2 linked regions of the Saccharomyces cerevisiae S288C genome follow. The protein of the gene in region 1 interacts with the protein of each later gene in a pairwise test. Each region holds a gene or a part of one and is shown on either strand. Other genes may lie near its edges.

Region 1 (11,749 bases):
AAGAGAGAGTTGTCGATAACATCTGATATGCTGTTCAAGGCATTGGTAGATTCCTGTGTACGTGTAGCCTCGTCATTTAATATAATATTATTACTCCGGACCAAGTTTGGAATGCGATCGCAGCTTAATGATTTCTTGGAGGTTTTTTTTTGTGGCACAGTCAAAAACAAACTTGTGGGTTCATTATAGTAAGTTTGATACTCGTTTTGGGGAGCAGAGATTGCAGTATCCAGCGCATTTGAATTTTCCCCATTCCGTAGGGACAAATATTTGTAAAAATCCTTAGGTTGTAATGAATTCATCCTTTTTCTTATTAAAGGCCTCCCTTCTTCATCTAAAGAAGCTTTAGTAAATAAATGAGTATCATCGGAGGGTAAAGACAACGATTTTACTGTATTGTTAAAAAGATTCTGCTTCTCCCATATATTCAAAAGATCTTGTAACGTCATTCTTACCCAGCCATGATAATGCGACCGTAAATATCCCCGTATTCTACGTCTTATTAAATCCCTTCTTTCAGGTATACCTTGATTAAATCTCGAAATGTTATCCAGGGATTTACTTGGTAAACGAGTTGGATCTAAACTAATAGCGTTGTCCTCATCAATCTGTGTATCCCCCAAAGGCCTTACATATCTTATTCCATCGTCTGTGGATGTAATGTCACTGGTAGTCGTTAATGTAAATCGATTTGGAACAGTGATATGATTATTTGCAAGTACAGTTTTTTTTATTTCTACCTCTCTTTCTAAAGCATCATTGATTTCGCAGGGATATTTGTAGCTTTTTATTAAATAGACAGCACAACAGCAGTAGGTTAAAACCATGACAATACACTCCCAAAAGTACAGTCTTCCATCTGCTAGAAAAGTGCCCGAAACTAAGAGCATAAAAGTGAATATTCCGACATCCAATATATAATTGCTTCTATCATACGATAAATTTTGGTCAAAGCTTTCTTCTGTGTAAGTTTCAATAGACTTGTCATGTTGAAATTGAATAGTGGCTACGCAGCCCATTAGTCCAATCACAACGGTTAACAGAAAAAATATGCCACCAAATAACTCACCAATGGCCAAGGAAGTCACGCCAGATTTCATCGACTGGTAAGTACTAGTAATATCAGGAAGTGCATTCCCCAATGCTAATAAAGTCATGCCGGATACTCTATCGGAAATATGGAATATGTTACTGGAAATGTATGACAAAGATGGTGTTAAGCAGTCAGAGGTAACCACTCCTAGTAAAGAGAAGCATTCAATAAGTACAACAGAATGCAGATAAAATTCAGATATTGAGCCATTACTAGAAAGGGAATAGCCTATTAATATAACGTTCGAAACGTAGAAGGCTATCGTTATTAGCCATCTTAAAGGTTTATGCATCTGCTTTAAAAAATTTGATAAATGAAGAGTAGCATTTACAAATAAAGGTAAGGAGATAGGCGCCGGAAAAAGAATGAATATTCTGCTTGATCGAATAAGATATTATGAGCGGTAGTTCAAATGTCAATTTCACGTACGTATATTTGAGTGGGAGATTGTCTTAACTTTTCCCACTTACGGCTTAATATTCATGACGTATTTTCTGCCATCCCTTGATATCGAGCCGAAAATAAAACTAAAAATGGCGACGTTTAAAATAAAGTCATTATAAAGTGTATTAGCATAATGTGCATATATAAGTTCAGAATTTTCTAAGGAGACATTTCCGGAAAGGACTCCATATTATTATTTTGCCAGGCCTCTAATAAAATTCTTAATCTCGCAGCACCCACATATTTCTTTTCAGCCATTCTGGAGGTCAATTCCTCACCAATCAAGATTAGCAATTTAGAGGCTTGGTTCCCATACGCCTGAAGAAACTGTACGGCAGCGGCATCCCACCACGAACCGAGTATGACAAAATGGGTATTTGTTATTAAATTTAGTGGCGTATTACATATTCTAGCCAAAATATGCCACGATAATGCGATGGGGAAAGGATGACTCGTGGTGGTGATAAATTCTTGAGGTAACTGTAATCTCGTTATTATGGCAAATAATGATAAGATCCCGCCCATTCTCTCATCGTAGGATGTGTTATCTTCCCATTTATTCTCGTTGTTTCTTTTCCATCCCATGTTTTGACGGCCTTTTTCTGTGTCAATCTCACACGTGAATCCTATCACAAAGGGGCATTTCTTGACAAGTCTTGCCATAAACAATTCCTGTAACTCTGGGAATTGGACTAACAAATATAAAGTCAATTTCCCTAGGGGCAGAGCAGACTCTGGTTTTACCCTGACTTCTGTTTCCGCCTGATGTACTACGGCTTTGGCAATAAAGTTTAAAATCCAATGATATGCTAGAGAGTCGCCTTTAGTATCATTTATCAATTGAGTTAGTTCATTCTGTATTTTAAAAAGTTGCTGGTTGCTATTAGTTAATTGTCCGAATTTCGGGTTAATTTTCCTTTTATGACGTGAGAGCAAATTCCTTACATTCACATCAGCTTTTTTTATAGGCAGAACTATGTCTTGCTTTATTTGAGCAATTTTGTCTTTATAATGCCAAAACATTTTGGAGATTTTATCAAAGTTTGTAACTGCTTTACCCAATTTATCCTTCTGCTGCAATAATTTGGCTTCATGTTCTTTTTTCAATTGTCTTTCCTTTTCATTCTGTTCTTCTATTTTCTTCCTTTCTTCTTCTTGTTTCTGCTGCGCTAGCTTTGCTTCAGCTTCTTTGCGTTTACGTTCTTCTTCATCCTTCTTTTGACGTAATAATTCCTGCTCCCGCTTGGCCTTTTCCTCAGCTTCCTTACGTTTGCGCTCTTCCTCCTCTTTTCGCTTACGTTGCTCTTCAACACGACGTTTATTTTCTCTAATAGATTGAATTTCTTTCTGATTGGCAAGCACCAAGTTTTGCATTTTCCTTTGAAAAGATTCTTCTATTGCCTCGAGTAAGGGTGCTGTCGCATTTGAGTTCTTAGCATTATCTAGCAATGACGAATGCGATGCTCTCGGTAGTGGCATATTGGTTGAATGCGGTACTATTATCGATGACGCGGCTACAATGGGCTCATTAATGGGGATCAGTTTCGATTGAAGGTTCAAATCGCGCAAGGCGTTTTCTAGAGCAGGATCTAAAATAACTACCGACTCATTTACCAATTTCTTCGTGCCAACTTTCGTGAATGAAGGTAACTTTATTGCTGGGCTCGGCTCAGGTGTAGGGCATTGCGATGACGTAGAAGATGTTGTAGAACATGTTTCCTCAAATTCTGGAGAATCAGTATCTGAATTGAAAACCTCATCGAACACAAATCTCATTCTTCGACTCTGCAGAATATCCTGTAGCAACGGCCCGCGATTCTCTTGTTATCAATTATATACCTATTTCTTTGATGATATTTTCATTAAACATACAAAAAGTGGAACAGTAGAACGAAGCCCGGTTACCCGAAAAGTCACAAACATTTGATGTTATTAGTAGTATTATATAATATACAGAAGGCCTACAGTCAAAATATATATCTAATGCCAGATTTTTTTTATTTCTTCTAGATTTCTAATATGGTTAAGAAGCGAACTTTTTTCATAAAGCTTGAACTTCTTTGACAACTTCGTTGAAAGATTCCTTGTATTCTTCTTCTTTATTTTTTCCATCTTTTTTCTTATTGCTACCTGGGACGATAAAGACAACTGAGGTAGGTCTTTTTGTAGCGCCAGCGGCACCTAAGTCTTGCTTTGAAGGTATGAAGATGTATGGGACAGAGTGATCTTCACATAAGACTGGGATGTGGGAAATAACATCAGCTGGAGAAATGTCACCGGCGATGACGACTAAACCTTTTTCACCCTTTCTTAAGGCCTTGACAACTTCCTTGACACCTCTTTTAACATTCTTGGCCTTGGAAGCCTTCTTCACGGTCTTCAAGACCTTCTTGTTTAGTTTCTTAGAGGCCAATGGTTTAGCGAATGGCAACACAGCAGGCATTCTGGCCTCATAGTTGTCTACGGTTTTGCTTTCTTTGCTTTCCTTATGTTCCTTGTTGTCTTTACCCATTTTTACTGCACTTGTTTCCGTTTCTCTGCTACCCAATGATCCATTGACCATTTACTACTACTATATCATGCATTCGTTTTTTACTTTTCTTTATTCCTCATCACTTTTTTTCAGAAAAATTTTTTTCAGTTTTTGAGCATTCCATCGTTACATACGTACATATGCGGGTAATGATGAAATTTTCCATTATGTATTGAAGGCTGGATCATAATAAAGACTACTGGCGATGGGCCTTAAGGTAGTAACGACGTTAGTAAGACAGTATACGCATTGATAGAAATTTGGATGACATCTTGGAGGGATAAATCCGCGAAAGTGCAAGTGAAGGAGTCAGAACTGCCCTCCTCTATACCGGCGCAGACTGGATTGACGTTTAATATATGGTATAATAAATGGTCCCAAGGGTTTGCGGGGAATACACGATTTGTTAGTCCATTTGCTTTGCAGCCGCAACTTCATTCTGGGAAGACTAGGGGCGATAATGATGGCCAGTTGTTCTTCTGTCTATTTTTTGCAAAGGGTATGTGTTGCCTTGGCCCTAAATGTGAATATCTGCATCATATACCAGACGAAGAAGATATAGGTAAACTGGCCCTGAGGACAGAGGTATTGGACTGTTTTGGTAGAGAAAAATTTGCTGACTATAGAGAGGATATGGGCGGGATCGGTTCATTTAGGAAGAAAAACAAGACATTGTATGTAGGTGGTATTGATGGAGCATTGAATAGCAAGCATTTGAAGCCAGCTCAGATAGAAAGCAGAATTCGATTTGTATTTTCTCGATTGGGTGATATTGATAGAATACGATACGTTGAGAGCAAAAACTGTGGATTTGTGAAGTTTAAATATCAAGCTAATGCAGAATTTGCCAAAGAAGCCATGAGCAATCAGACATTGCTGCTACCCAGCGATAAAGAATGGGATGATAGAAGGGAGGGTACTGGACTATTGGTGAAATGGGCAAATGAAGATCCAGACCCCGCTGCACAGAAAAGACTGCAAGAAGAACTGAAGTTAGAGTCTTTAAACATGATGGTGCATCTAATCAATAACAATACCAATAGTGCTGGCACTGAGGTTAATAATAAGAATAATGAAAGGTTAGACAGGACATTTCCAGAAGCAAGTGTTGATAATGTCAAGAAAAGACTATTGCCATTAGATAATGGAATGGAGAGTGATGATTTTATAGAAAAATTGAAGAAAGTGAAAAAAAATATCAGTAGAGAAAATATTTCATCAAAGCCATCTGTTGGTAAGCTTGGTGGTCCCTTGCTCGATTACCTCTCCTCTGATGAGGATTAGAGAAGAAAATCGTTTCCACCAAATTCTAAGTATCTGCCATTAACATTCCCGCTGAGCTGATCATAAATTATCCGCGCTTCTTGATTTTTATGTTTGGGCGCAGAAAACAAGCTAAAACGGTGAGATAGGATAAACTATAATATAATTAAATTAAAAATACTGACTATATAAGCTAGACCTTATAAACTCTGAATATAAAATCTTTATAAAGGTTTGAACATTTATGGTTCCTGTTTGGACATAATTGTGTCGATAACATCAGCACCAACGGCTTCAGTATAATCATCATCCGACAAATTGGTTGCTGGACCGTGGTAGTATTTCTTCTTGTAAACTTTGTAGTAGATACCTGCAAGGATCCAGATACCGGGACCAATAACGCATGCATAATTCATTGTGGATTTAGTAATACCATGTTGTTGAGAGGGGAACATAACCAAAATAATAATGAACAATTGGAAAGCAACACCTGTCCAAGCAACAATTGGAGACCAGATTTTACCCAAATAAAATGGACCAGGTCTAAATAAATCTCTACCTGATGTTAAACGGAAAACTGTAGGGGTACTCCATGCCAAATTGTTTCCTGCAACAGCCAGACTAAATAATGCATCAGTGGCGGCATCATCAATCAAACATAACAATCCTAAAATCAAGGAACCTACACAGGCAGCCAAAATAGCGAAAAAAGGGACCGAGTATTTAGAATCCACTCTTTTAATATACTTTGATAGGGGCAAACCGTTATCACGGGAAAATGCCCAAACTTGTCTAGAAACAGCTGTGGTAATGGAAGCACCCATTAGAAATTGACAGAATGCGATCAATGACATAAATGCAATGGCCCATTTTTTTCCTAACGAATCATAAATTATTTGAGCCAAAGCAAAGCCGTACTTGGAGTCCAAAACGCTGTCAATATCAGGGTTGATACAGGCCATTAAACAAATAATAATCAACCAACCTAAAATCCAACAAACAGCAATAGATGAGATTATACCAATGGGGACTGATTTCTTGGCATCTTTGGCTTCTTCAGATTGATGGACACATGAATCAAAGGAACCAATAGTCCAGACAGCAGGCATGAAACCAGCAAGACAAAATTGCCAACCATTATTCCAGTCACTTAAGTTTTCATATTTCCCAAATATAAAGTCACCATCATTGAAACCTCCCATTCTATGCTTGGTACCAATCGGTAGCGCAATGAACAATAAAACAATAATGAAAAGATTGGCAAATATACTTAGCGTCTGCAGACGAGCAATGGCCCCAGAAGCAACACATGTACAAATACACATAACCACCACTGCTCCAGCAAATATACCGTAAAGTTTCCCACTCGTTACTTCAAAATTTCCATCTTTGGTTAATGTGACAGCAGCAGCAATTTCCTCAGCCAAACCGTAATCAATGGAACACACACCGGCTGCCAACGCTAGGGAGTTTGAGCAACCAATAATAAAAGAAATAATCTCTTTATAACCTTCTGGAGCATAGTAATACGTCCAGTAGTACAAACCACCAGCGGTAGGAATGGAACTTGCATGTTCAGCCATGGTAATACCCACCAGTAAAATGAAAAACGCAGCAACGAACCAACCCCACACTAATGTTGCTGGACCACCACCGAGCCCACCACCCATCACAGATGCAATGGAGGGCAATAGACCCATAATGGAGAACGCAATACCGAAAACTTGTAATGTTGAAAATTGTCTTTTTAATTCTTGTTTATAACCGATCTCTGCAAGCAGTTGGTTATCATTTACAGATTTAGCAGCATCGATATAGTTCACTTCACCGGCACCAGTCTTGGAGCGAATCGACCTTAGGTTAGACCCAAGGCCTTGTAACTGGTAAGCCTGACCGATATCAGTGGATATTCTTTGTTCTACTGATATCTTATTCTCGTTTTTGCTTGACATACTCATTGTTAGTAATAATAAATTATAAGACCTTGTTACACTTCACAACTGAAGTAAACAGCTTATACTGTTTTATATAATCACAACAAGAAGGAAAGGACCATGCCAGTCAACAGAATACGTTTGAACTACTTCTTAATATATATGCATTTGTTATTCAAGAGTAAGCCGTATTCGCTATCATTATCACTGAGCACAATCTCACATCAAGATTCTAACCCAAAGAAGGAACTGATTACTGTGCCAAGCCGCGTTATCCGACTTAAAATTAGTAGGTTCTCCCCTTATTCGATAAACGTACATGGGTACGTGCACCGGTATTGGACCATCGAAGGCCCTCACCTCCATGGTAATAGATTGCAAAATCCAACATGACATAAAACATCTCGAAATTGCCGCCGGCGGTTTTTGGCGCACGATAAGCGATAAGCGATTAGCGATAAGAGTACCTTAGTAAGATGCCTAGGAAAAAGAAAATAAGATACGCAAGCCGCGGTTAAACAATGATATAGAGTTGCCTGATCAGTAACCACTAAAGAGAAAAATAGATCCCAAAAAATCAATCATTTCAATGATTGAAGAAATTGTCATTCACAATAAACACTGGAAATGAGTGCAAAGTGGAAAACAATGTGGAAAAAGAAAAAAAATTAAACTTGCGCAAGCCCGGAATCGAACCGGGGGCCCAACGATGGCAACGTTGGATTTTACCACTAAACCACTTGCGCTAAGTGAACTTGAAAACGGGAGCGTTGGATAACAACTAATACAAGACTGTTGACAACAATTCTGCGAGAGTAACTTGTCGTCAACACTTATTATCATTTTGAATCACAGAGGGTGCTTATCCTCTTGGAATAAATGGTCTACATCATTCTAAATGGTAGAAGCATGGAAGCCCAGACGTTAACGAGTTACACAGGTGTTTATATGTTTAGATTTATGTATGTAGCAACGCTAAGCTATCTCATCTTGAGATACAACACGAAAAATGGAATGAACAGATCACCTAACAGTTAAACCACTCTAACAGTTACTATTAGAGTGGTTAAATGTAAACTCTTGTGCAGTAAATAAGAACTAACCTTAAACCTTCACTAACGAAAGTGCTACTAAAAGGTACCTCAGCAATGGATTTCTGTTTCCAGACTGTTTTGAAAGTACAGGCCATTCATTATAATGACTGCGGTTTATTCAAGGCAAACCATCCGACATGCCTCAAGAGTTACTGGAAAATGAGGTGGTCTCCTTGTTATACAGAGACTGACTATTGCTTCGTCTCAAGCTTTGTAAAAGGTACCCACCCTTCTTGAAGTCACCAGAGTTAAAACCAACCTCTTGGTTTCGAGAGGTTGAAGTCTCTCAAAATGTAACATTTAACTATAACATCAGTCGTATGTTATTACTGGATGAAAGATACTGGTATCACTGCTCTTTGCTTCGCATGCTGTCACAAATTGTCGTTGTGAGCTCTCTTAGTTATTTGAATTAGTGATAAGATATTCACATATCTTACTTGCTTCTTCTTACATCAAAGAAAAAACATAAGCATGATAAATAAAAAATGCAAGATCCGCTCTCAAATTCTTTACAACGAATTCTTTGTTTAGACTAAACGATAAAGAAATTCTTCTGCAAACATAATCAAAGAAACTGTGCAGGAAATGAGAACGGCAAGAAAAATATTGGTGGTGCAGTTATGGACTGACTATCCGTATTCCGACATCAAAATGATACCGTACTTAGTAGATTTGCGCCATTCAAAATTAATACGTACCTGGGCTCCACCGCCACAAATTCCCGCGACGTTTATCTCTCCCCTATGCAGCATTAATATCTTCTAAAAAAAAAAAAAATTTACAAAACACCTAATCCAATCATTTCACCAGATTACCGAAGCGTTTGCGTTAAATGTCCTGCTACGGCAATCGACAAAGTAGACCCACTCTATTACTACTGTTTGTTTGGTACTTAAATTGCTTTTTGTTAGCGAAGAGATATCGACGATGCACACGTTATTGATAAACATCATATACGCAAAGCTTCGAATTAAAAACATATTCTTGAGAACAGGTAAATTCCTTGAGCATAAATCATCAAAAAAAGAAAATAAATTCTGGAAGCGGATTAAGTGTGTGATCTCATAGAACTGCCTTAAAAATCTTGAAGCCAGTCAAATTTTCCATAAATCCTTGGGTTCTACTCATGTAATCAAAGCGAGGATAGCCCACAACTTTCACAAGTTCGATTTCGCCAACAAATAAAACAGCTTAACTGCTTTGCTATGTTTCCTCAACAATCGAACTGGCTGACGAGTAGAAGTCTGGCATTATGTGGAATCACTCACTGCACCAGCTATCTCTCCAGTTACTAGTTGTATTCTCTGTCAGCAGTCGAAATGACTTTTTTAATATCAATATGGCAAAAAAGTAATACACACTGTTAAGAAGTTAACAAACATAGTAAATAGTGTTTCTCAAAGTGAAGCCATTTTTGAAAAATCCAGTTCACTATAAATCCACTGTGCCAGTAGAACAGTTGCAAGAGTCCCAGTCCATAATAAAACGCTGGGAATGATTCCAGGCGTTGACTTGAACACAATTGCCAAATTTACTCAGATGGGCTGAGCCCGTAACAAATAACGTCAACAGGCCAGTAAAGGTTAGGATCCGGGGTGTAACTAATTTGAGAAAGAAAATGTCACTATTTTGCGCACAATAATCACAAAAGAATAGCAAATTCAGCTCTTTGGCTACCTTCTTCTTTTTTTTGTCCAAAAACATGGAAACATACTATGATTACCATTTTGTACCGACGAAGATACAAATGACACCAAAATCTTCGTCAGAAAACACTAGGTTATCGCGCAAAAATTTCTAGAAGTATGGTACCAGAATATTGCACTACTTAGCCGGGCCACATAGTAAATTTTTCTCAACACCAGGTACTGGAGTTAACACTAGGAACCGAAAAGCCAGTTTTTTTTCTTTCTTAGATATGATCGAGATAGGTTTAAAGAATTAATGTTTGAGCAGATTAATGCCCGACCTTTGTCATGTATTGTTTGATATCTTCAACGGGATGTCGGACATTATGTCAAGTCAGATACCATACAGAAATCTCTATCGCTAGCTCGTAGGCAAAAGGTGAACGGCAATATCTAGTAAAGACTCTTTAAACAAAATAGTAATTATTATGGCAGAGATGAACCATTCACATAGGAACAGGAACAGCCAATGGATTTTTCATTATTCTGAAACCACAATTAATTCATGATTTTGTTTCGGTGCATTTATTCTTTCATTAATGAAATTCCCATGCTAACTTATGTATCGTTTTTGCAGTGCAAGCATCCTCCTTGACAACGCATTAAATATGCCTTAGTAATCCATTAAAAATACTGTTTTCATTCTTCCACAATATTACACCTGCTAGATTCAAATACAGGCTATGAGGAAGTGAAGCCAAAGATCGAAACGTGGAGAAGGGTCCGTAGTTATCTCTTCTTTGTTCAAAGTTAAGAAAAAGCTACCGGTTTACCGATATCACTGGACGATGGAAGAAGAATGCAGCAGCTCAAGTACATATTTTACAAAAAAAAGAGTATATTAGTTCATTATATTAATTTCACTAACCGCATCAAACTAGGAGATATCAACCGTATTGTATGTTACCTTGGGCGGGCGCTCTAAAAATACGTGAAAGATTTCGCGTCAGAGAAATTTCTCATAGATTAAACGTAAACAAAATTCAGATGGTTCTGCTCGAGATAATAAAGTAATTCATAGAACGTTAAGATTTATTTTTACATCCTCAAAAGGCGCGAGGCATCTTGATAATTCTTTCTATTGCGATACTTCGCCATGCTACTAAATGTAACGTCTTCGCAATACATAAGCACACCTCAATCCAGAAGTCTGAGTGAAATTGACACGTCAGAAACCGCCAGCTTATCATCAGCTACAGACCACATTTTTGCATTATCCACTGAGGTTGTATCCTCAATTACGACGAACCTCATTGAGGGTTTAGAAAGTTCGATTCAGGTCCCCATATCAACCGCATATGGTACGACTTCCTTCCGCAACAACACTTCAAGTCCACAATATCTGGTTAGCAATTGCACTTCCTCTGTTCAAAGCAATATCACTATCGATAGAGGACTGTTAAGTACATTGAAGACTTTCACTACTTCACAGGTGCCAACCATAGAGCCTTCGACGACTAAACTAACAACACCATTATCTACAACATTTACCTCAACCTCTACATCGGAAATATACTCCGTATTCACCAGCGAGAACTCAGTTTATATCATCTATGACCAAGAATACAAATTTACAGAGCGATCGACAACATTTAACACCCACTTTCCCCAAACAACTGTGCTTCAAGAATCAAATCCTCCGTTAACTTTCACCATTCCATCCAATACCATTACCGGGGATGCTAAACTTTATCAAT
Region 2 (10,599 bases), 1.0 Mb from region 1:
ATAACGAAATTCAGTACGACATACTTGGCTTAGAAATCAAATATCAAAGAGGTAAATACATGAAATTAGGTATGGAAAACTCATTAACTGAGAAAATACCCAAATTAAACGTACCTTTGAATCCAAAAGGAAGAAAACTTAGCGCTCCAGGTCAACCAGGTCTTTATATAGACCAGGATGAACTAGAAATAGATGAAGATGAATACAAAGAGAAGGTACATGAAATGCAAAAGTTGATTGGTCTAGCTTCATATGTTGGATATAAATTTAGATTTGACTTACTATACTACATCAACACACTTGCTCAACATATACTATTCCCCTCTAGGCAAGTTTTAGACATGACATATGAGTTAATACAATTCATGTGGGACACTAGAGATAAACAACTGATATGGCACAAAAACAAACCTACCGAGCCAGATAATAAACTAGTCGCAATAAGTGATGCTTCATATGGTAACCAACCATATTACAAGTCACAAATTGGCAACATATATTTACTTAATGGAAAGGTAATTGGAGGAAAGTCCACCAAGGCTTCATTAACATGTACTTCAACTACGGAAGCAGAAATACACGCGATAAGTGAATCTGTCCCATTATTAAATAACCTCAGTCACCTTGTGCAAGAACTTAACAAGAAACCAATTACTAAAGGATTACTAACCGACAGTAAATCTACAATCAGTATAATTATATCCAATAATGAAGAGAAATTTAGAAACAGATTTTTTGGTACTAAAGCAATGAGACTAAGAGATGAAGTATCAGGAAATCATCTGCACGTATGCTATATCGAAACCAAAAAGAATATTGCAGACGTAATGACCAAACCTCTTCCGATAAAAACATTCAAACTATTAACAAACAAATGGATTCATTAGATCTATTACATTATGGGTGGTATGTTGGAATAAAAATCCACTATCGTCTATCAACTAATAGTTATATTATCAATATATTATCATATACGGTGTTAAGATGATGACATAAGTTATGAGAAGCTGTCATCGATGTTAGAGGAAGCTGAAACGCAAGGATTGATAATGTAATAGGATCAATGAATATAAACATATAAAACGGAATGAGGAATAATCGTAATATTAGTATGTAGAAATATAGATTCCATTTTGAGGATTCCTATATCCTCGAGGAGAACTTCTAGTATATTCTGTATACCTAATATTATAGCCTTTATCAACAATGGAATCCCAACAATTATCTAATTACCCACATATTTCTCAAATCTCCTATATTACGATCTATTCTTTAGTCTAAATGTTACCAATCGTTATCCTTTTTTATCATCAATCCGTGCGTTTCAGTTGCTTTTAAATTTGATAACGCATTCTTATCATTTATGTCATTTTATTACATCATATATGATAATATTCCGTCACCTTGAATACTCATCAAGAAACGATAAGTTGTTGTAATTTAACAGTAACTCTGCATATAATTCAACAGGTAAAAACTAACTTTTATATCCTTGAACTTCTTCATTTTTGTGTCTTTCATTGAAAGTATAATTTTCCTTTTTTTTTTTTGGTTTTCAATACATATAATGATGGGTGACATTTTTTGTGTCATTTAGATTAAAAGAAATTTTAAGAAAAATTGACGTATTTAATTTTGATCCGCAGTAAACGCTATAAATTCTTTTTAATATAAATGACAGCTTTTTATACATATAGACCCTTTGAAGAATATTCCAAACTAGAAAGGTTGATCAGAAATGAGTTATAGTGTCAACACGTTTACAGATTACGTTTTATTGTTTGGATCATCTAGTTTAGTAGGAAAAGGTATTTTAGAGAACCTGTTGGACATAAATTTATATATTAAAAATGTTTCGGACCTACAAGGCAAGCTTGATAGCTTAAGTGAAATAAAGGGAAATGTCGTTCTCAATAAACATGTCTTTTGTGTTAATAGAAGGTGCATCAATGAGGAGAAATCATTTATGAAGACCATTGATTATATAAATATGAGATCAGTTACTTGGCAAGGTGGCAGATATTACTTGAGAAGCAGGAAAGAAAAAGACACTGAAAAAGTACCGTCTAGTCCTAATACTTTTTGTTATGATAATTTTGAAGAAGGATTTATTAAAAATACGCCTGAAGAGAGGGGAAAAGATGGTTATTCTTTTGTTTATAATCAGAAACAGTTCAGTTACACACTACATTATGCATGCGGAAAGGAAAAAGGTATTGAGATCATTTGTAATTTTACTGTAACGCAATTGATCATCCCCAGATCTGAAACTTGGCCAAAATTGCTTCCACGGATATTCTCAGGAACACAAAAGCTGGAAAAGTTTGACATTGACAACAAAAATTACGTTCCCGGTAGAAGTTTGCCTAGTCTGTGTGATATTAGCACTATGGTGTGCTCTTTGGGCTCCACCTCAGCTAGAGTGCGGAGAACTCAGGTACCAAGTTCCTTTGCTGACTATTACTTACCTTTTAATTTAGCACAAGAATTCACGAATACAACTAACAAAAGGTTGGTGGTTACAACTGCCTTTAATAATGATTTTCTTAGTAAAACTTTCGAGTATTTTAGAATAAAAGCTAAATTAGAAAATGACTTGGATGAAGCTTTGCCAAATAAGCTAAAGGAGCTAGTTATTTTGAGGCCAGGTCCGATGTGTGGACAGCACGGAAATCCTATAAACGTTGAATTGGGTAAAGAAAACTCCACTTTCTTGGAAAAAATTTTTTATTATCCTCACTATCTTTTAGTTTATAAAAAGAAATATATCAGTGAGGCCAGAAGGATTGGCTTAAGAACAAAGTTAAGCGAAATAATTGCTTCCAGTATATATAGGATGCCAGGATCTGCATTATTAGGATACGCTGTCCCAGTTTCAAAGGTTTCTTATGTTGCCTCTTTGATGGCGATTGAAAGGAAAAGTAAAGAGGCGGGACCTAAGCTGGAAGTAATTAGCAGTTATCAAATTGATATGATTGTGTGAACAGTCAGTCTTTTCTTTTGATAGATGCGAAGTTATTAAATAAATAGTAGCCTAATACATAAAAGAACCACTATATCATGGATTCGATACCTGGGCCGTCTTAAATTTTTATCGCATTGAATATGCAAACTTTATGTATTGTTTTACTAATCGCCAGTAATGGCCGACCAATTCTATGATAGATCTTCCCTAAGTTTATAATGATGGTAAGAAAACGCGCATATTTCAAAACTGAAGAAAAAACAAACAAAAGCCATATGGATAATGAGGGGAAAATGTGATTTCTTTACTTGAGCAATTCTTTCAAACTATCAGTAACGCTCCTGGCAATGAGTAGAATCGATGATTTACAGCAGGACATTGAATCTTTACTCAGTGAAAGTATGTGATTTTGAGGCTGTAACAATTTTCTTTCTTTTAAAAAAATGATTAAGTTGAACACTAACATAGTAGAATCTTCACAGTCAATTCATTAGAAGAAAGTCGTGAGAAGCTCAAAGCGAAGATAAAAGATAAAAGAAAAAATGAGGAGAGCGCTAATCCTATAGTACAAGAATTTGAAGATCTATTCGATCAATTCCCACAGTTGAATAATTTTTTATTTAATGAGCATCCAGAATTGGAAGAGACAGATGACAAGGACATATCAAGGGCGCAAGCGGATATACCAGCAACGCCAATACCGTATGAACCAAAGAAAAGAGCTAAGCTGGAGAATGAGGAAATTTTACCAGAACAAGAATGGGTTTTAAAGACCCAGCCAATGGTTCAGCATCAAATGTTTGATCCTGGGGTGGCAGATTTATTGGATACAGACATTCTAACGTCACCTTCAAAAAGAAAGCGAAAACTAAAAATAGACGATATTAGTACAAGTGATAGAAGTGAGTTGGAAGATTATATTGTCCTGGAAAATGTTTATAGAATGTTTGGTATAACATTTTTCCCTCTTGTGGACCCTATTGACCTTAAGATAAAAGATGCTAGCGGTGAAATATTTGTTGATAGAGAAATGCTGGGAATACGACTGGAAGTCTTCAGCGAACGGACATCCCAATTTGAAAAACCTCACTATGTATTGTTGAAAAAGAGGATCAAATCGAATAGTTGGTTCCTGTTCAAGCATACAATCCCGAGTTTCATTGATGTCCAAGGTATATTTGATGACACCAATGGGGGACTAGTGATATCTCATGATGACGCCTATTTATTTGCTAAAAGAGTCTTCCTGCAACTTGTGGAAGTACAGAAAAGACGACAGATTTTTAAGGACTTAGAAGCTAAGAAGATAATCCACGACTTAGATTTAGATTTAGAATCTTCAATGGTTTCGTTTTTTGTGAAGGATATTAAAGTCGAGTTGTTTGTAAAACAAAATGAAATAGTTTCATGTTCAATATTGGACGATATTCATGATTTTAGTCAAAATAATAAAAGTAAATGGGAAATTGCATTGCTCGGTTCTTTGGATGATTTGGAATTAAAATTAAACCATTCTTTCGCGACAATATTCAAGTGAATGTTAACAAAAATATACTTTATAGAAAGAGGATAGAGCTAATTTTCTCTGTTTATCATAGATATAAGTAATTGTGTAGTATCCCAATTTTGGGTAGAATGTGGTATATGAAAACAGGGCATATGAAACCCATAAGGCAACCTAACACTTTTTCCAAGATAGTATGATAATAAATAGCGGTAACCCAGAGAATACATATCCAAATTACTAGGACAGCGCAAACAATGGCAAGGCAAGCTCGTACCCACTTATTCACAACCCAAAACATATCTTCAGCTTGAACAAATCTACTGAATAAGTGAAGTTCCATCCAAAGAATCATGCTTATACTCACAAGAAAGCAGAAGTGTCCACTAATGTCAAACCCACCATCCCATTTCCCATTTTCTAGACGGCACTTTTCAGCTGATGTCGTTTTACTACCAGAACTGCATTCTCCCCCTGTCCAAATGAAAACATGATCGATAAATTGGAAATTCAAAAACAATAATAGATATTTTAGAACGAACTTGCAAGCATATTGAGTGATCATAATACTGATTATTCTATTTTTGAGCAGAGGCCAATGGTTAGTATATGTTAAATAGGAAGAGCTAGTTTCGGTACTTGATATTGGTAAAGGCAATATATCCATTCTTGCTAGATAGTGGAAGTATATTTGCAGAAAAGCCAAACTAAAGAATAAAAATGGCCACAGTTGGTTCGCTTTGTATGCAAAAATAACATTGAAAATATTGGACGATTTCAATAGAGCGCATGTCTCTTTTTGATGGTTTAATGTTTCTGAAGATACTACTATTGATAATAATGCGCCTACAAAAACTTGAAAGGGGTAAATGAGATACGCCTTCCTTGACCAATAATTGAGCTGACGTATCATAATCTTTTTCAATTTTTAGTCGTTCAGTGGTTTTAATACAATGCCCTATTTCTATTGTGTTTTAACATTGTGATATTTTGAATTTTTTTTTTTTTTTTGCAGATTGTTTTTCATATTAATCAAATTGGGTGCCACTTGTAAGTCAATAAATGAAACTAAGCCTTTCCATACTTTTTCCTAACGCGCTTTGAAGAATTTGTTTTCCTATATATATTTGTATAAAGTACATATCAAAAACAACTGAGCGAAGCAGGCACACAAGGGAAATCAGTTAATGTCATTCTGCAGTTTGAACTTATCCCAAGCAATACTTAAAGTACTGAAAATATTCTCTGCAATCATCTTATTTTCCAGGGACAAGGACTCTGGTATCTTATCAGGATGTGTCTTGGCTACAGCTTTCATGTATGTAATTTTGACCCTCTTAGGCATAACCAAATCTTGCATAGAGACATCCTTCCAATTGCACCATGTTAGTAAGCTGGATAAATTTGCTAACAGATGACGAATGTCATCGTCTTTGCCATCCTTCCAGGAGCTAATTTTCTCAAATACTTTATCATATAGCGCCAGTTTAGCGTTTTCTAGCTCCCGTTTTTTTATTTCTGAAGTGCTATCAACAGAAATTGGAGAATTTGAAGAAGAAGCGGTTAAGTTCTGTTTTTTTGTTGCAGGCGAGGTTGTCGTTGTCTTCTTCTTAACGGGCATGGATTTTTTAACAGGGGGAGGATTAATAAAGTCTTGGCATCTTCTTTTTCCCTGCATGATTTTATCATCAAAAAAATTCTTCTTAATCAGCTCTTGGTATGTTTCTAGTGCTTTTTTGAAACTTTCTAAATGTTCAAAAGACTCAGCACGCCTAATCATAATCTTTGGCCAGATGTCGTTAAATGATCTTTCAGGGTCACTATTTGAGATTTTATTCTTCCACTTAGCTTTGCTTGATGGGAATAATTCCAAAGCCATGCTGGAGTTTTCTATGGACTTAGAGTACTCACCGATTTTCAGTTGCGAGGCAATAATGTTTGATAATGCAATGATCCTCAATGGATGATTTAAAGGCAATGTATTTAAAGACTTTTCATATTCTTGTAATGAGTTAATATAATCCCCGTTCTTGAACAAACTAGTACCTTTCGCCTTAAATTCGTTATACCCCGATAATTCAATATCTGAGATGGGTATTGTAGAGTCAGTGTTGCTGTTTTCATTGAAGAGGGTGCTATCTTCATTGCTTTTACTATTGGTGAGATTTCCTTCTGAAAAGTCGAGAAGACTATCCTCTATCAGGGGCTCATTTCTTCGCGAATTTTCTTCAATTAGTATACCAGAAGTCGGTGAGGAGGAGTGGGAGACATCAGGCGCTGTCCTCTTTGTTATATCAATCTTTGTTTCGAAATCAGTTAAAAGATCTTGATCCGGATTATCGGCAGGTGGTAAGTTCTCTACGACTTCATTATCTTCAAACAAAATTCTATTGGGTGAGTCGTTTACTTGAGGCAAATCATAATCCTCAACCTTATCATGAGTTTTTGAGTAATTATTCAGTCTATCATTTGCCTCAGGTGGGAAGGAGGTCCATTGGTCTACCAGTTTCTTACCCTTATTGAAAAAATCAGTGGCCATGCTGAATAAATTATTGCTATCTGTACCAACAATGTTGGATAATCCTGACTTTTCCATTTTTATACCACTTTCTTTCTTTCTTATAGCTAGATCGTTGCGCTCCTTTTGCTTTGACTTTAAAATCTCCAAATATCTTTCATAAGTTACGTCATTTTCGTAAAACTCAGTGGCTTCTTCAATTGATAAACCTAGAGACATCAATCTTGCTATTTCCATATCCTTAACTTCATCAACTAAGGCGTCATCACCATTGTAAAGGTGGTCTTCCTTGCTTCCATAGTAATCCTCATCCGGTTTTTGGATCGTATCCGTTGTAGTTACTGTGCCCATACCAAATAGTTGATTGAAGTCGTCATCGGTATTGGCAAGAGCCGAGGGAGGTGTGTTGTTGGCAGTATTAGATTTAGTGGTGCTATTAGTTGGGACCAAAGGAGGTGCAGAAAAATCTACCTTCGGTGACGGTATCAGCGGAGGAGCTGAAATTGAATGCAGACTATCATTGGGGCTTTTATCCGTCCTTGCAACATCTGCAACAGCGGAACCAGTAATGGAAGGCGAATTGCTGCTCTGAGGAGTTGTTTCCTTGGATGCAGATGCAGAGTCCTTATTCTTCAAAGAAGTCAGTAAATGTGCAAATGGATCTGACATTGATGTTGACTGTTTCTTGCAGGCTGCGTCCTTTCCAGAAGCACAGGAATAGGTTAAGCGATGTGCTGTTATTTTTTTCTCCTTTTCGCAGGAAACAGTGATCTTAAATGAATATATTAGAAACGGTATAGCATATATATATGTGTATATGAGTATGCGTATATAGAAAATTGGTGAATTAAAGAGGTGGCTTCTTGTTATTGGTCGCTTCCAGGTTGAATTGGACGCTACTATGGTAGTTATCACAAATTGCGCCCATGATTTCTAGATTTTTGTTCCGATTATTAATGGTCACAAGCTCCTGGTTAAGAATTGCCACGCTCTCATTGAGCCTTTTGACATTACCAATTATTCGCGAAAGTATGTTAGCCTGCACTTGTTCATGAGGGTTCTCCATGTTATGCTTTCTTTCCTAAACTCACTTCTTTTCCTCCCTATCTGCTTTTGTTTATTACAGTTGAAGGCTACTTGTGCCGTTCGTGTGAAAAAATACTCGATGAAAAAAAAAAAAAAAAGATGATGACGATGACTTTGTTGAAGAAATGTGTTTGAAGACAGTGGAGGATAACAGCACTCTCATCGCACTTTTGGAAGCGTATCATGAAAAGCGATTCAGTTGAAATCACTACCATCTGCCCAGATGTTGAAAATTCTCAGTTTGTTGTGCAAAGCAACTGTCCAGAGACTATTCCAGAGATTCTAAAGTCTCAAAATGCCGCTGTGAATGGCAGCGGCATCGCTTGCCAACAACGTAGCTTACCAAGAATCAAAATCTTGGGTACCGGTGGTACTATTGCATCGAAAGCTATAGACTCCTCTCAAACTGCCGGCTATCATGTTGACCTGACCATCCAAGATCTATTGGATGCCATTCCAGATATATCCAAGGTCTGTGACATTGAATATGAGCAACTATGCAACGTGGATTCTAAAGACATAAACGAGGATATTCTTTATAAAATTTATAAGGGCGTCTCAGAATCGTTGCAGGCTTTTGACGGTATAGTTATTACCCATGGGACTGATACGCTATCTGAAACTGCATTCTTTATTGAAAGTACTATTGATGCTGGCGACGTTCCTATTGTTTTTGTTGGTTCGATGCGTCCTTCAACCAGCGTTTCTGCTGATGGCCCTATGAACCTTTACCAAGCAATTTGCATTGCTTCAAATCCAAAATCTAGAGGAAGAGGTGTTCTTGTTTCCTTGAATGACCAAATTTCCTCTGGTTACTACATTACTAAGACGAATGCAAATAGTTTGGATTCTTTTAATGTTAGACAAGGCTATTTAGGAAATTTTGTCAACAATGAAATTCACTACTATTATCCTCCTGTGAAACCGCAAGGTTGCCACAAATTCAAACTGAGAGTGGACGGTAAGCATTTTAAATTACCAGAGGTTTGCATTTTATATGCTCACCAAGCCTTTCCGCCAGCTATAGTCAACTTAGTGGCAGATAAGTATGATGGTATTGTTCTTGCTACCATGGGTGCTGGTTCATTGCCGGAGGAGGTCAATGAAACCTGCATGAAATTGAGTTTGCCGATCGTATATTCCAAGAGATCGATGGATGGTATGGTGCCTATTGCCAACGTACCAAAGAAAGGTTCAAAGGAGGATAATCTCATCGCATCTGGTTATCTAAGCCCTGAAAAGAGCAGAATCTTGTTACAATTATGTTTGGCAGGTAACTACACGTTGGAAGAAATTAAACATGTTTTCACTGGCGTCTATGGTGGGTGAAAATTTTGTAATTTTTTGCATTTGTGTCGATATATATATATATATACATAGACACAGAGATAGAGATATAATTATGCAAGTCCCTGTTAATGCTAGTCTGAGATGAGTACAGGAATTCTTCATTTAGATTGTCTCGGCTATGTCACTTTTCTATCGTTTCACCTGCACATGGCTTTGTCTTGAATACTGAAGCCGTTATTATAGTTCTATCTTCATGTTTTTAGAGGTTTTTTTTAAATGAGTTTATTAAAATTAAATTTTGAATGTTATTTTTGAATAAAAATATAAAAAAAATAATATTAATAATTTTTCATTAACTGCTCATGATATCAGTGCATTAGAAAATCTTTTGGTTCCACTTTTCCTATAAAAATAATTCAAGTTTTATCATTATATCATTTTTAAATATTTGATTATCATCGCCCGCTGGTCACCGCATTTTTAAAGAATAAATATTACTTTTTTCGAAATCTGGTGTTTAAATATTTTTAAGAAAGTTAAAAAATAAGGAATATTTGATAAACAAAAAAAAATTAGCCTTTATATATCCATTTTTGTTTATGTATTCCTTTTTTTATTTTCTTATGTGTTTGGGATTTACTGTCGCAGTCTTTTCAAATTTTCCGGGCTAAACCGGAAGCCGGAAGGTCTGGGATAAGACAACAGTATCCAATACAATATCAGACTACAGCAAAAAGCTTATTCAGAGATCTTTACAGAAATCAAGGTCACTGCCGAACTATGTTACGAAGATCTATTCATACCACTAAAATCCTCCAAAAACCTAATGCTACTTCGCATATTTGGTCGGACTTTACCACAAGGCCTAGTTCACTTTCTATCCAATCTTCAAAAGTGAAAAATTACCTTTTCCAGAAGAAAGCTTCTCTAGACCCACCATCTATCAGCAGAAGAAGTAACCGTATCAAATATTCACCTCCAGAACACATTGATGAGATTTTCAGGATGAGTTATGATTTTCTTGAGCAAAGATCCAGTAAGTTTTATGAGTTGGCCAATAAGACTAAAAATCCCTTGAAGAAGGATGCACTTCTCATAAAAGCAGAGATCAATAATCCTGAGGTACAATACAATTTTCAGTTTAATAACAAGTTGAACAATGTTAAGGATATAATAGATTATGATGTGCCAGTGTACAGACATTTGGGGAAACAACATTGGGAATCGTACGGCCAG

The links.
Region 2: the proteins of UGA4 (region 1) and YFT2 interact in a protein complementation assay, tested with the Saccharomyces cerevisiae proteins (one large-scale study listed by BioGRID).

Annotation. Positions count from the first base shown.
Region 1 is NC_001136.10:79,812-91,560, reverse strand, and holds UGA4 (Uga4p), read right to left. Parts: upstream 7,292-11,749; coding exon 5,576-7,291; downstream 1-5,575. Other genes in the region: YCX1 (Ycx1p), read right to left, coding at 1-1,385; nucleoporin GLE1, read right to left, coding at 1,697-3,313; snoRNA-binding protein NHP2, read right to left, coding at 3,579-4,049; active spliceosome conformation promoter CWC2, read left to right, coding at 4,335-5,354; YDL211C (uncharacterized protein), read left to right, coding at 11,149-11,749. UniProt on the Saccharomyces cerevisiae protein: Required for high-affinity, high-specificity GABA transport. Also transports putrescine.
Region 2 is NC_001136.10:1,100,446-1,111,044, forward strand, and holds YFT2 (Yft2p), read right to left. Parts: upstream 5,383-10,599; coding exon 4,558-5,382; downstream 1-4,557. Other genes in the region: HIM1 (Him1p), read left to right, coding at 1,739-2,983; MCM21 (Mcm21p), read left to right, coding at 3,313-3,364, 3,448-4,502; auxilin-like protein SWA2, read right to left, coding at 5,650-7,656; DAD4 (Dad4p), read right to left, coding at 7,835-8,053; asparaginase ASP1, read left to right, coding at 8,257-9,402; mitochondrial 54S ribosomal protein mL38 MRPL35, read left to right, coding at 10,144-10,599. UniProt on the Saccharomyces cerevisiae protein: Fatty acyl-coenzyme A (CoA) diphosphatase that hydrolyzes fatty acyl-CoA to yield acyl-4'-phosphopantetheine and adenosine 3',5'-bisphosphate. Preferentially hydrolyzes unsaturated long-chain acyl-CoA substrates in the endoplasmic reticulum (ER) lumen.